Linked DNA regions of Diceros bicornis minor. Each later gene encodes a partner of the first gene's protein in a complex. Links are inferred from orthologs where the notes say so. Each region holds a gene or a part of one and is shown in the gene's direction. Other genes may lie near its edges. The genes, in order: POLR1H, TAF1B and POLR1E.

Region 1 (3,745 bases):
GCACAGACCGAATGTAAGAAGGTATAGTGGTATATTATCAGCTGTTTTTGTATTTTGGGCCTAGCTGTCTGGGACACAGCTCTGTTTCCAGCAGTTAACAAATGTCCTCCTTTCTTTCAACAAATATTTATTAAGTCTAATATATGCCAGACTCTACAGAACAGACTTATGGGTATAAAACCCTAATGGAATATATTATATATTCCCTGATAAAGGAATCATGGGCTCAGCAACAGACCTCCTTTGGTAAGACAGACAAAATAAAAACCAGCTAAGTGAAATTATGGGGCTTGTCACTCTCCTGTAACTTGCTCAGTTTTAACCCCTTCACTATTGTGTGTCTTTCCATTATTGTTGAGACAGGCAGACCGGAGTCTCTCTCAAGGAGAGACCACAGCTTGTCTCTTTCAGAGGAGAAAATAGTATGGCTCCAGAACTTTTATATGTAAGGAACTTAGTACAGCTATCTAACTGGGTAGGGGTGCAAATGTTAGGAAGCAACTAGGAAACTCATCTAAAAGCTGTCCCTGGAGGATAACAAGTTTTTACTTTAGATTGTAGGGTACACATGAATTAAAATAGCAAGATTTTCTAAAGATACTTGTTCGCATGTTTTATAAAAGATTAAGGAAATGTCAACTGTCCACCTAACGGATGACGATGATGATTTAAGAGTTGGTTGGACGGGAGGCGGGGAACGAGGTGGAGGTGGGTGCGCAAATGAAAGCCAACCTCGACCTAAGTTTTAGTGAAATCCTACCCAAGGCTGCTCCCCTTGACTAGCCTCCCTCATCTGGCATCCGTCTAAGGAGGAGGGAGTCCCAACCTCTTCTGTTCTTCCACCTCCAAAGTCCTGAGCCCCCAGTGTCCCACTTCATCCCTGTTTCCCTTCTTCCCAGGGAGTAAGCATGCCTCCTCCTCCTTCACCACTTTTTGCCCGTTAAGCCGACTCACTCCTTCCAAGAGCAGGAAACAACCTCCAAGGCACGTGAGCCAGGCTGGGCTCTGCAGAGCGCTACAAGTGTAACTCAGAAAGTTTAGCTTTGTTTTTAACCACTGCGCATCCGCAAAAGGGGAACTATCGGCTCAGGAACCGCAGGAGCTGCAGTTCTCTAGTCAAAAGAAATTAGTATTCGGTAAGGTTAGTACGATTTTCAGGGGGACGGCCCTCCGCGCCTAGGTCCCTGTGAGGTGCAAGACCAAGAAAAATAAATATCCCAGGATTGGGTCTTGAGGGGAAAAGTAGCCGGAGGCCCAGCATCGATTACCCGTTTTCTTATCCGACCATACAGAACCAGGCTGAAGAGAGGCCCGGCCTGCACCTTCAGAGACGTTCCTCTGCCTCTCGAGGACTGTCAGGGTCACGTTTGCGATTAATTATGACGTCACAGCCAATCGTGAGCCGCAACGCGTGGACGCTCTAGCCCGCCGCGCGCTCGCTTCCCCATTGCCCGCGCAGGGCCGGCGCTCTAGCCCGCGGAGTTGGCTAGCTCCTCTCGCCTGCCCGAGGAAAGCCACTGAGTCAGGGGGTACTCGACGCAGGCTGGGAATACGGGACCCTTGGGCATACGAGGCATGCGTGGGAGGAGGGCTCCGGTTATGTATGCTTAGCTCCAGGGACAGAATAGAAATGACCCCTGAGTGGGGAGGGAGCTACTCGCTTGTTAATCAACTTCTTATTCCCTTCTCAGCCCTCGACAGCCTGTCCGTCATGGACCTCGCCGGCACCTCCTCCAGCTTTCAGTCGGACCTGGATTTCTGTCCGGATTGCGGCTCGGTCCTGCCTCTGCCCGGGGCTCAGGATACGGTCACTTGTACTCGCTGTGGCTTCTCCATCAACGTGCGAGGTGAGGGGCTTGTACGCAGCTGCCCCGGCGGAGGGCCCGGCATGGAAGGGTCGGAGGCTTGGGGACCTCAGGATCGGTGGGATCGGAGAGGGGAACCCTAAAGCAGGAGATCAGGCGCTCACACTTTTGGTCTTGGGACTAAACCTGAAGGGAAGGATGTAGGACCTCCTGGCCTAATCAAGAGGGAGTTGCGGGTGTCAGCTCCCTCCGCTTGTTTCCGCAACCGATTCTTACTGCCTGTGCAGACTTCGAAGGGAAAGTTGTGAAGACCTCATTTGTGTTCCACAAACTGGGGACAGCCATGCCTATGTCGATGGAGGAAGGACCTGAGTTCCAGGGACCCGTGGTAAGTTAGTTACATCAAGCATGGCCCCCCAAGGAGCGTTGGGAAAGAAATGGAGGATGATTGCTGAGACCTGTGGAGTTTTGTAGCCAATTCTAAGAGGGAAGAGGGAGCTTTAGAGCAGCAGTGTCTGAGGAGTGTGATAGCCTGATTCCTATGAGAAGTAGGGGGGATACGACTAGGCCTCCCTAATCCACTAGTTGCTTCCCAGGTTGACAGGCGCTGCTCTCGATGTGGTCACGAGGGAATGGCATACCACACCAGACAGATGCGCTCAGCTGATGAAGGGCAGACTGTCTTCTACACCTGTACCAACTGCAAGTGCGTATCCTTTCCCTTCCCTCTGCCCTGTCTCAGTCTGTTTGCTAACTAAACAAATCCAGTGATTTACTTTTTGTACCAAAGAAGCAATTGTTTCCTTTGGTCCCATCCCTCATTTCTGTACAGTTCAGATAGTAGGGAGATTTGTGGTCGTTTTTTATTTTTAAAAATTACACTTTTCTTATCCTTTTTATAGCCAGTGAACTAAACCTTTTAAGATATTTTAAAGGAAATGGAAAAATACAGAAGGCAAGTATTGCTTAGTGGTCAGGATGTTATGCTGGAATCTTCTGCTGCACTCAAGGTAGTTTTATTTTGGTGAGAATTAATCGTGCCTAATTTAAAAAACATGGGCTCTCTTAATGGTTTTGAGAACTCCTCTTGGTCTTTGGTGTTCTGCAGTTTCACTACAATATATCAAGATGTGGCTTTCTTTTATTTATCCTGTTTGGGATTTGTTGGACTTTCTAAAACTCAGGATTGACTTTTTTTTCATCAACCTTGGAAAATTATCAGCCATTATCTCATTGAATATTGCTTTTTCTGGAGCTCTAATTAATTAGTTGTTTAATAAACCTTCTCTTTCACCCTCCATTTCTCTCACCCTGTCTTTCATATTTTTCATCTCTTTTTCTCTTTATGCTGCCTCTGGGTAAATTCTTCAGGTCTCTCTTCCAGGTCACTAACTCTGTCTTCAGTTTATTTCAATTATTGTTACTTTAGAAAAAGTTTTCTTTTGAGTTCTACTTGATTATTTTTTCAAATTTCCTCAGTCATTATAATTCCCAATTCCTTAATCATATTTTAAATTGCTCCTTTTAGTCTTAAAATGTTACTTTTAAATATATTAAACATGATGATTTATACTGTGTCTGATAATTCTGATACCCATCATTTTTGTGAGTCTGATACTGCTGTCTGTTATTTTTGCTGACTCTCTCATGGTGCTTTTTTTCTTTGTTTTGTGATTTTTGACTATAAGCTTGGATTTTTTAGAGTCTGAAGTATGGGAATTCTTTGAGGCCTGGGGTGAATGCTGTATCCTCAGCATCTATGTTTCCTGTTCAGGTGCCTTGAGGCACTACCGAGCCGGAATTACTTTAAATAAATTCTTGGCTTCAGGTTTTTTGGAGCACATAGGTAGTATAAATTCGGGCTGCAAATCCATATAAGGGCCAGCTTATGGTTAGAAATTCTCAGAGAAGATTTTTTCTCCCTCTACCTTGTGAGGTAG
Region 2 (3,745 bases), on another chromosome or scaffold:
ATCCAAATGCCTTCTTATTCTACCTGGCTGTCTTAGAAGCATCTCTACCTTAACATGTCCAAAATCAAACTCCTGATTCTCCCTCTACCCCACTGCCAAACTGTTCCACCCACAGTCTGCCCTTATTAGGTCAATGATAGCTCCACCCTTCCAGTTGCTCAGGCAAAAATCTTGAAGTCATCCTCGACTCCTTTCTTTCTCTTACAGCCCACTTCTTGTCCATGAAGACATCCTTTTGGCTCTACCTCCAAAATCTGTATTTCCAGGAACCATGTACTTCTCACTGTCTCCACTGCTTTTACCTGGTTCAAGCTACCATTATAGCTTGTCTAGATTATTGTAATAGTCTTCTGATTCATCTCCCAACTTCTACCTTGGACCACTATCATTCTATTCTCCCCACAACAGCCAGACTGATCTGTCAAACAAAAGTCAGATGACGTAACTCCTCCAATGTCTTCCCCCATTTCTCCAAGTTAGTAAAGTCCTTACAACCATATTTTGCCCCGACCTCATTTTCTACTCTCCCTTTAGCTCATGTTCCAGCCCCTCACTGACCTCCTTGCTGATCCTTAAATAACATGGCATAAGGTTCAGGACTAGGGCCTTGGAACTTACTGTTCCCTCCACCTGGAATGATGTTCCCAACATGGCTCTTGCTCCTTTGCCTCAAAGGTCAGTTTGTCAGTGAGACCTTTCTTGACCACCCCATTTAAAATGGAAACCACCGTTAGCTCCCATTGTCCTTTCCTGCTTTTCTCCTTGGCCCTCATGCCCGTTTATCATACATATATTTTCCTTATTTATTTTTGTCTCTCCCCACCAGAATATACTCTCCATGAAGGCTGGGACTCTTGTTGACTCTGTTCACTGCTGAATCCCCAGGACCTAAAACAGCGCCCGTTTAATGAATAAATCAAGGAATGAATGTGCCCAATGAAGGAACAATAATAAAGGCTAAAATGAGTGAGCACTTACTACGTGAGGCTCAACGATAAGGGACTCACAGGTAATATCTGATTGTCACAGAGGAGGCACCTGAGGCACAAGGAAGCAGAAGAGCCGTGAGAGGACACCCAGGTTTAACTCAGCAACCTGTGTTCTCCCCTCCAGCACCGCGCGCCTCCCCGGGGCTATCAGAAGCCCGCGGGAAGGGGAGAGCCCGAGCCCTCCACGCCGCCTCCCTGCAGCCTAACAGAGCAAGGGAGTCTCGGAATGAACGCCGTCAGAGGGGCGTGATTGAATCAGCTCAGCCTTAGGCACCGCCCAGTTTCTCACTGGCTGGTTTTAGTAACCTCGACTAGAAAGGGATGCAGTCTGGGAGGGGGATGCAGAATTTGCGGAGCTTTGCCCCCGGAGCCAGCAGAGGCTTTCCCGGGGCCGCAGGCGCCCGGAATCCAAAGTCAGGGTCTCCGTTTCCGTCCGGAGGGCTCCTCCCGGCGCTCCCGGAAGCTGGGCTCGTGCCGGGTAACGGGCCCGGGCGGCGGCGCCGTTATGGACCTGGAGGAGGCGGTGAGGGGGCAGCGCGCCGGGCGGGCCGACAGCGGGGCGGGGGGAAGTGAGGCCGAGGAGCAGCGGGCGGAGGACGCCGGCTGGCTGTGGGGGCCGCGGTCCCGAGGGGGCGGGGCGGGGAAAGGGAGGGCGCTGGCGCGCGCGTGTGCGCGCGGGTTTGGGACCCAGGCTGGAGTGTGCGGCGGGGGCGGGTGTGGGTGAGGGGAGCGTGCAGGTGTGTTTCCGGAGGAGGAGGGCTCCGTGGGGTGGCCACCCACACGGCTCATCCTCTCTCGACGGGACCCCGGGGTTCCCTTGGATGCTGGGTGGGCGAGGGAGCGCTGGGGCTGGGGCCGGCCTGCCCCCGAGCGCCCCCGCCGGTCCCTGCGAGTCCTCGCCGCGGGCTGGCGCAAGGATGCCCAGTGGGGTCTGGGGGCACGCCGAGGTAATGATGGCTGTCACAACAGGTTGATGAAAACTTGACCAACTTGTCGGAGTAAATTTGACATTCATTTTTGCCGTGCTGCATAAGATGCCTCACTCTGGGGTGTTAAAGGAGTGTTCGGTGATTAGATCAATGATGATGTCAAACACCAAAGAGCTAGGAGTCAGTAATTTAGTGCCAGGCTGTGTGTGTGCAGAAGGGCTTACTCCCCCAGCCCCTGTTAAGTGCCTGGTACCTGCGAAGCTGATGCTCCTTACGCTGCTGAATGAATAAATCGAAACTCGAAACAACCCTGATAAAAATCTGGGTCTTTTGTGGTGAGTGTGTGTCTTTAGTGTCCTGGAGGAAGTTCCGAATGGTAGGCTATTTCTGTTTTTTAAATCTTCTCTATACGTAAATCTTGTCGTCTTTTTCCCTCACGGCATTTTCAAGGAGTTTTATTTACTCATCTTTTTTTCCATTTTACCCCCACCACCGTTTCTTCTTTTTTTCCCTCACACACTGCATGTTTTAGAAACATTTCTTTAACAGTTTAATTTGGTTTCAAACTGCTCAAAGACTGAACTGCTGTTCTCCTTGTTTGTTGATAATGTCTCTGATACATTTTCTATTTCCTATGATTTTTTATTTATAGAGTAAAATTGCGGGGAACCCTATGAGTAGCATTGCAGGGTTTAGGTGCGATGTATTGAATGTGGTTTTCCTTTTCTCCTGTAGAAAGAGTTCAAAGAGCGCTGCGCTCAGTGTGCTGCTGTCTCCTGGGGTCTTACTGATGAAGGCAAATACTATTGCACTTCTTGCCACAATGTTACAGAAGTGAGTAACAGATCTCATTTATGAATTTGCTTATGTTTTAAAAATTGCTATTTCAGCCCAATATGTGCCATAATTCCCAAAGAATTGATCTGTTTTTATCACTTATGCAATGCCCAAATTCCAAGAACGTAAGCCATCTTCCAAGTGCTTACACAAGAGTTAGGGAATTTGTAGGTTAGATTTAGGATGAATTTTCGAAAGTATGTTGGGCCACATATTTAAATGATTTCCTGATTCAGACTGTATAGTCCAAGGTGAAATAATTAAAATTATACTTAGAAGATGATTTATTTCTTTTTATTAGTTAATACTTATTAAGAATTTTTAGTGTGTTGTGGTAGCTTAAAGGTTTGGAAAATGGAATGTTAGAAAGACTGAAGATTATTGGGAGTATTGAAAATACGTTTCATTATCGTTTTACATTTGTACAGCACCTCACAGATTACAGAGTGTTTTCTTGGCCATTATTTTGTTTCCTCCTCTTAACAACCTGTGAGATATACTATTTTTTTTTTTTTTTGAGGAAGCTCAGCCCTGAGCTCACATCCATGCTAATTTTCCTCTCCTTGCTGAGGAAGACTGGCCCTGAGCCAACATCTACTTCGAATCCTCCTCCTTTTTTTTTCCCTTTTCCCCTTTTTTTCTCCCCAAAGCCCCAGTAGAGAGCCACATGTCATAGTTGCACATCCTTCCAGTTGCTGCACGTGGGACGCCGCCTCAGCATGGCCAGGCAAGCGGTGTGTCGGTGCGCGCCCAGGATCCAAACCCGGGCTGCCAGTGGCAGAGCGTGTGCACCCAACCGCCAAGCCGCTGGGCCGGCCCCTTAGATATACTATTATGCCTATCCATAGATGGGGCAGGCAGGCCTCATGAGTTCAGTGAGCTTGCCAAAGTCACACAAGTGTAAAGTGTTGAGCCGGGGCTTGAACCTGAGTCTTCTGATTCCAGTGTTCATTTTACCCCATCACACCTGCTTCTTAAAGCAGAGATTGT
Region 3 (3,745 bases), on another chromosome or scaffold:
CAATGTCTCTGTAAGTTTGAGACTGGGTAACTAAAAGCATGACAAATGCTCAGGCAAGGGCGAGCTCACTTGTTAGGGCTGTTGGGAGCATCCTGGGTGCGTCTCTGTATGGGGAGAGGAGATGAGTCTTGAAAGAAGGCCATTTGGACAACAGAGGCGAGTCAACCCGAGTTCTTGCCCTTCAACAGTACCCTCCGTTGACAAGGCAAAAGGGGCTCCGGCCTGGGTCCATGCTTAAACGCCCTGCTTTGGCCCTCTTGCTCTGGTAACCCCCATGCGGAGGGAGGGTTGAATTCGCAGGGACGGAGAGACATGCCCATCAGATCTGTGTCCTGCTTTCTGGTCCACCCAAGAATCCCCTGCCAAAAAGCTCATGAGCCTGCTGAGCCTCTCCCCCTGGTCCATCCTCGCAGGGTTGATTGGGCCACCCGTGTATGCACGTCTAGGACCGAGGAGTGAGCACGCAGGGCTGCGGAGGAAGCTTGGACTTAAGGACTGGATGCCCACGTGTGTGAACGGAGGCCCTAGAGATGGCCAGCCGCTCAAGTAGTTCCTGTCAGAGAGTTCTAAATTTGAACTTGGCCTTTCAGGTCTTAGTAAGATATATTTGCCAGCGTAGGAAAGATAGACCACACTCTAGACCGTGCTGTGCAGGAAGCAGCCTCAATGACGGTTAGGTCCGAACTGCAGGACTTCTGGGCCCCTGGGAACCTAGTCCCACACAACTTAACGCGCAGGCGGAGTGCTGGGCCAATCAGCTGCTGCGCCTCGGAGAGGCCGATCGGGGTTGTGGGGGACCGGGCACCGCGTGGACACACACCAATCCTCTCCAGGCGGAGGGGCGGGGCGAAGAATGGGCGGGGGGGCGCGCCTCAGAGCTCAGAGGAAGTGCGCGGGGGGCGGAGCCTGGCGAGGCCACGCCTCTTCCGGCCCGCCGCGCTGCCTCCGTGTGAGGGAAAACGCGCGCTGGCCTGCGGCCGTGGTGCCTCCCGGACTTGGCGGCGGGCAGGCGAGATGGCGGTGGAGGTGTTGCCGAGTGCGAAGTGGCTGTACTGTGGGGAGCCCGACGAGAGCCAGAGAGCTGTACTGGGTAAGGACCGCGGAGCTGGAGCAGTACCCAGTAATTCCCTCCCCGCCGTCTTGATACCTCCTTAGTCCTCCCGCCCCCCGTTGGGCCCCTTTCTCGGCCAGGCCAAGACCCCTCCTAGTGTCCTCCACGACTTGGGGCTCGGCCAGGGCTCCTCTATCATCCCACCGTCTTTCTGTCACCACCTCCCAGCAGGATAAAGACATCTCAGTCTCCCCCTCCCCAGGGATGTAGCCAGGATCCTGAATCCCCTCACACCCGCCAGGTCTCACGCCTTCTGCGTTTCCTTCTCTCCACAGGGCAGGGATTCCCTCTGTCTCTCTAGGTCTGCACGAGGCCTCAGTCAGCCCCATTCCCCTGGTTGTTCCTGCCTGTCTCAGCCCCTGGCCAGGATGCCCCTCGCTTCCCTGTTCCCTCATCCCAAGTGGACCAGGACCTCCTTCATCCCCCGTTAGGTCAGGCCCTGGGCTTCCTTGCCATCATCATTCCTCTCCAGTCACTCCCTCCCAACGAGAGTCCAGTTCCTCCCACCATACACTCTGGGTCCTTCTGCTCCCCTCTCATTCTTGGGCTGCAATCTTACAGTCCAGTTCTCCAATGGGAAGCTGCAGAATCCAGGCAACATGCGCTTTACCTTGTACAAGAGCAACGACTCCACAAACCCCAGGAAGAGGAGTCAGCGGATCCTGGTGAGTGCTGCAGTGGCCGGATGCCTCTGCTCCGCAGGCCTCAGGAGGCCCCTTGGGTGTGGGTGGATGTGGGAGGGAGTGAGAGGAGAGAAGGGGGCTAGCAAATGAGCCCTTGAAGAACTCTGCTGAAACCCCGGCAGGTTGGGGTGTGGGGACAGGCTGCGTTTAGTTTTGTACTTTTGGTCAAGTGATGGCTTTCCTTTCGTTCTTTTGTTCATGCAGCGAGCGTTTGTTGAGCTCCGGCTGTGCTCTGTGCTGGAAGCTGCTAGGGAAACAGCTCAGTCAGCCCTGGCCCCACTCTGAGGCGCTTGTACTCCAGAGCAGGGTTTCTCAACCTCGCCACTGTTGGCGTTTTGACCCAGAGGATTCTCTGTTGTGGGGGCAGTTCTGGGCATCACGGGATGTTTAGCAGCTTTCTTGGCCTCTGCCCACTAGGTACCAGTAGCACCTAGTTGTGACAACCAGAATGTCAGACATTTCCAGATGTCCCCAGCAGGGGAATTTCTTTGGGTTAAAAAACCACTGCTTTAGAGAGGTGAGAAGTGGATGCGAGGGACACTCATACAAGTAGACAAAGCTCAGGGCCTGAGAGAGGGAGAGTACAGGGCAGGGTGAGCAGAGAAGTCTCTGCTTGCCAGAATGCCTTCCTGGGGGAGGGTGCATTAGAGCTGAGCCCTGAAGGATGGAGGACGGTTTGATAGCTGAGGTTTAGTATTCCAGGTGAGGAGGATAGCAAGGACAGACATAGGGAAGCAAGAAAGCTTGGCTCTAATTGAGGAGTGAAGCAGCCCTTCCATCGTCCTGAGAGCATATAAGGAGCAGTCACGGGAGAGGTGGGCAAAGGGGTTCAAGAAGGGCTTGGAGAGGCCCGGCCCCACGGCTGACTGGTTAAAGTTCTGTGTGCTCTGCTTTGGCGGCCTGGGTTTGTGGTTTCGGATCCTGGGCGTGGACGTACTCCACTCACCAGCCATGCTGTGGCGGTGTCCCATGTACAGAATAGAGGAAGATTGGCGCAGATGTTAGCTCAGGGCGAATCTTCCTCCGGGAAAAAAAAAGAAAAGAAGGGCTTGGACTTTGGGCCCAGGAGGTTGCCTGCAGAATCATTTTGTTGCATACCTGTAAGTTCTGGGAGCCCAGGGCCTTGCTCCCAAGTCCTGTGGTGCAGCTCCCCCAAGAACTTTTCAAACTAGCTAGAAGCCAGCACTATCTGGAGCTTGCTTTTCAAAAGTCCTCTTGCCTTTCCCCCAGGGACACCCCAGATTCACTTAGAGATAGTGGGGCTGAGTTGTCTCCCAGAGGCTATTTAGTTCTAATCCACTGTGGTTTGAATCCTAAAGCTTTTGCGTATGTGGAAAAGGGAGACAAGATGCTTAATGCCTTTTTTTTTCTTTTGTGAGGAAGATTAGCTCTGAGCTAACAGGCTGTCGCCAATCCTCCTCTTTTTGCTGAGGAAGATTGGCCCTGGGCTAACATTTGTGTCCATCTTCCTCTACTTTATATAGGACACCGCCACAGCATGGCTTGACCAGCGGTGCGTCATGCGCGCCAGGGATCCGAACCTGCGAACCGTGGGCCAAAGGGGAATGCGTGCACTTAACCGCTGCACCACCGGGCCGGCCACCTTAATGCCTTTTAACATTGGTTGTAATGGACCTTTTCCCCCTCTGCATTTTAGGCAGCTGAAACAGACAGACTTTCCTATGTGGGAAACAATTTTGGGACTGGAGCCCTCAAATGCAACACTCTGTGCAGGTAGGGACAGGGAGAAAAGACAATGGGAAGGGGAGGGTAGTGGTGGTGGCCCTGGCATTGCTGTTCTGTCTTTATTTAAGGGCAGTGGGGGACATCTAGAGAGGTTTACCAAGTCCGCCTGTTCCCAGACCCAGGGCCCCTCACACCAGCATGTAGACATTCCTGAAAAGGAAGAATGACTTACATTTGTTGAATTTCCTAAAAACTGCATTCATTT

Evidence for each region.
Region 2: POLR1H (region 1) and TAF1B share a complex: the UniProt entries of both Homo sapiens proteins name them as parts of the pol I pre-initiation complex. The link is inferred for Diceros bicornis minor from reciprocal best matches to the Homo sapiens genes POLR1H and TAF1B.
Region 3: POLR1H (region 1) and POLR1E share a complex: the UniProt entries of both Homo sapiens proteins name them as parts of the RNA polymerase I (Pol I) complex. The link is inferred for Diceros bicornis minor from reciprocal best matches to the Homo sapiens genes POLR1H and POLR1E.

Annotation. Positions count from the first base shown.
Region 1 is NC_080753.1:35,907,327-35,911,071, reverse strand, and holds the start of POLR1H (DNA-directed RNA polymerase I subunit RPA12), read left to right. Parts: upstream 1-1,573; 5' UTR 1,574-1,603; coding exon 1,604-1,847; intron 1,848-2,092; coding exon 2,093-2,193; intron 2,194-2,401; coding exon 2,402-2,511; intron 2,512-3,745. UniProt on the Homo sapiens protein: Core component of RNA polymerase I (Pol I), a DNA-dependent RNA polymerase which synthesizes ribosomal RNA precursors using the four ribonucleoside triphosphates as substrates. Can mediate Pol I proofreading of the nascent RNA transcript.
Region 2 is NC_080751.1:70,279,928-70,283,672, reverse strand, and holds the start of TAF1B (TATA box-binding protein-associated factor RNA polymerase I subunit B), read left to right. Parts: upstream 1-1,429; 5' UTR 1,430-1,494; coding exon 1,495-1,512; intron 1,513-2,653; coding exon 2,654-2,752; intron 2,753-3,745. UniProt on the Homo sapiens protein: Component of RNA polymerase I core factor complex that acts as a GTF2B/TFIIB-like factor and plays a key role in multiple steps during transcription initiation such as pre-initiation complex (PIC) assembly and postpolymerase recruitment events in polymerase I (Pol I) transcription.
Region 3 is NC_080767.1:6,484,699-6,488,443, reverse strand, and holds the start of POLR1E (DNA-directed RNA polymerase I subunit RPA49), read left to right. Parts: upstream 1-941; 5' UTR 942-1,014; coding exon 1,015-1,090; intron 1,091-1,672; coding exon 1,673-1,776; intron 1,777-3,451; coding exon 3,452-3,528; intron 3,529-3,745. UniProt on the Homo sapiens protein: Component of RNA polymerase I (Pol I), a DNA-dependent RNA polymerase which synthesizes ribosomal RNA precursors using the four ribonucleoside triphosphates as substrates.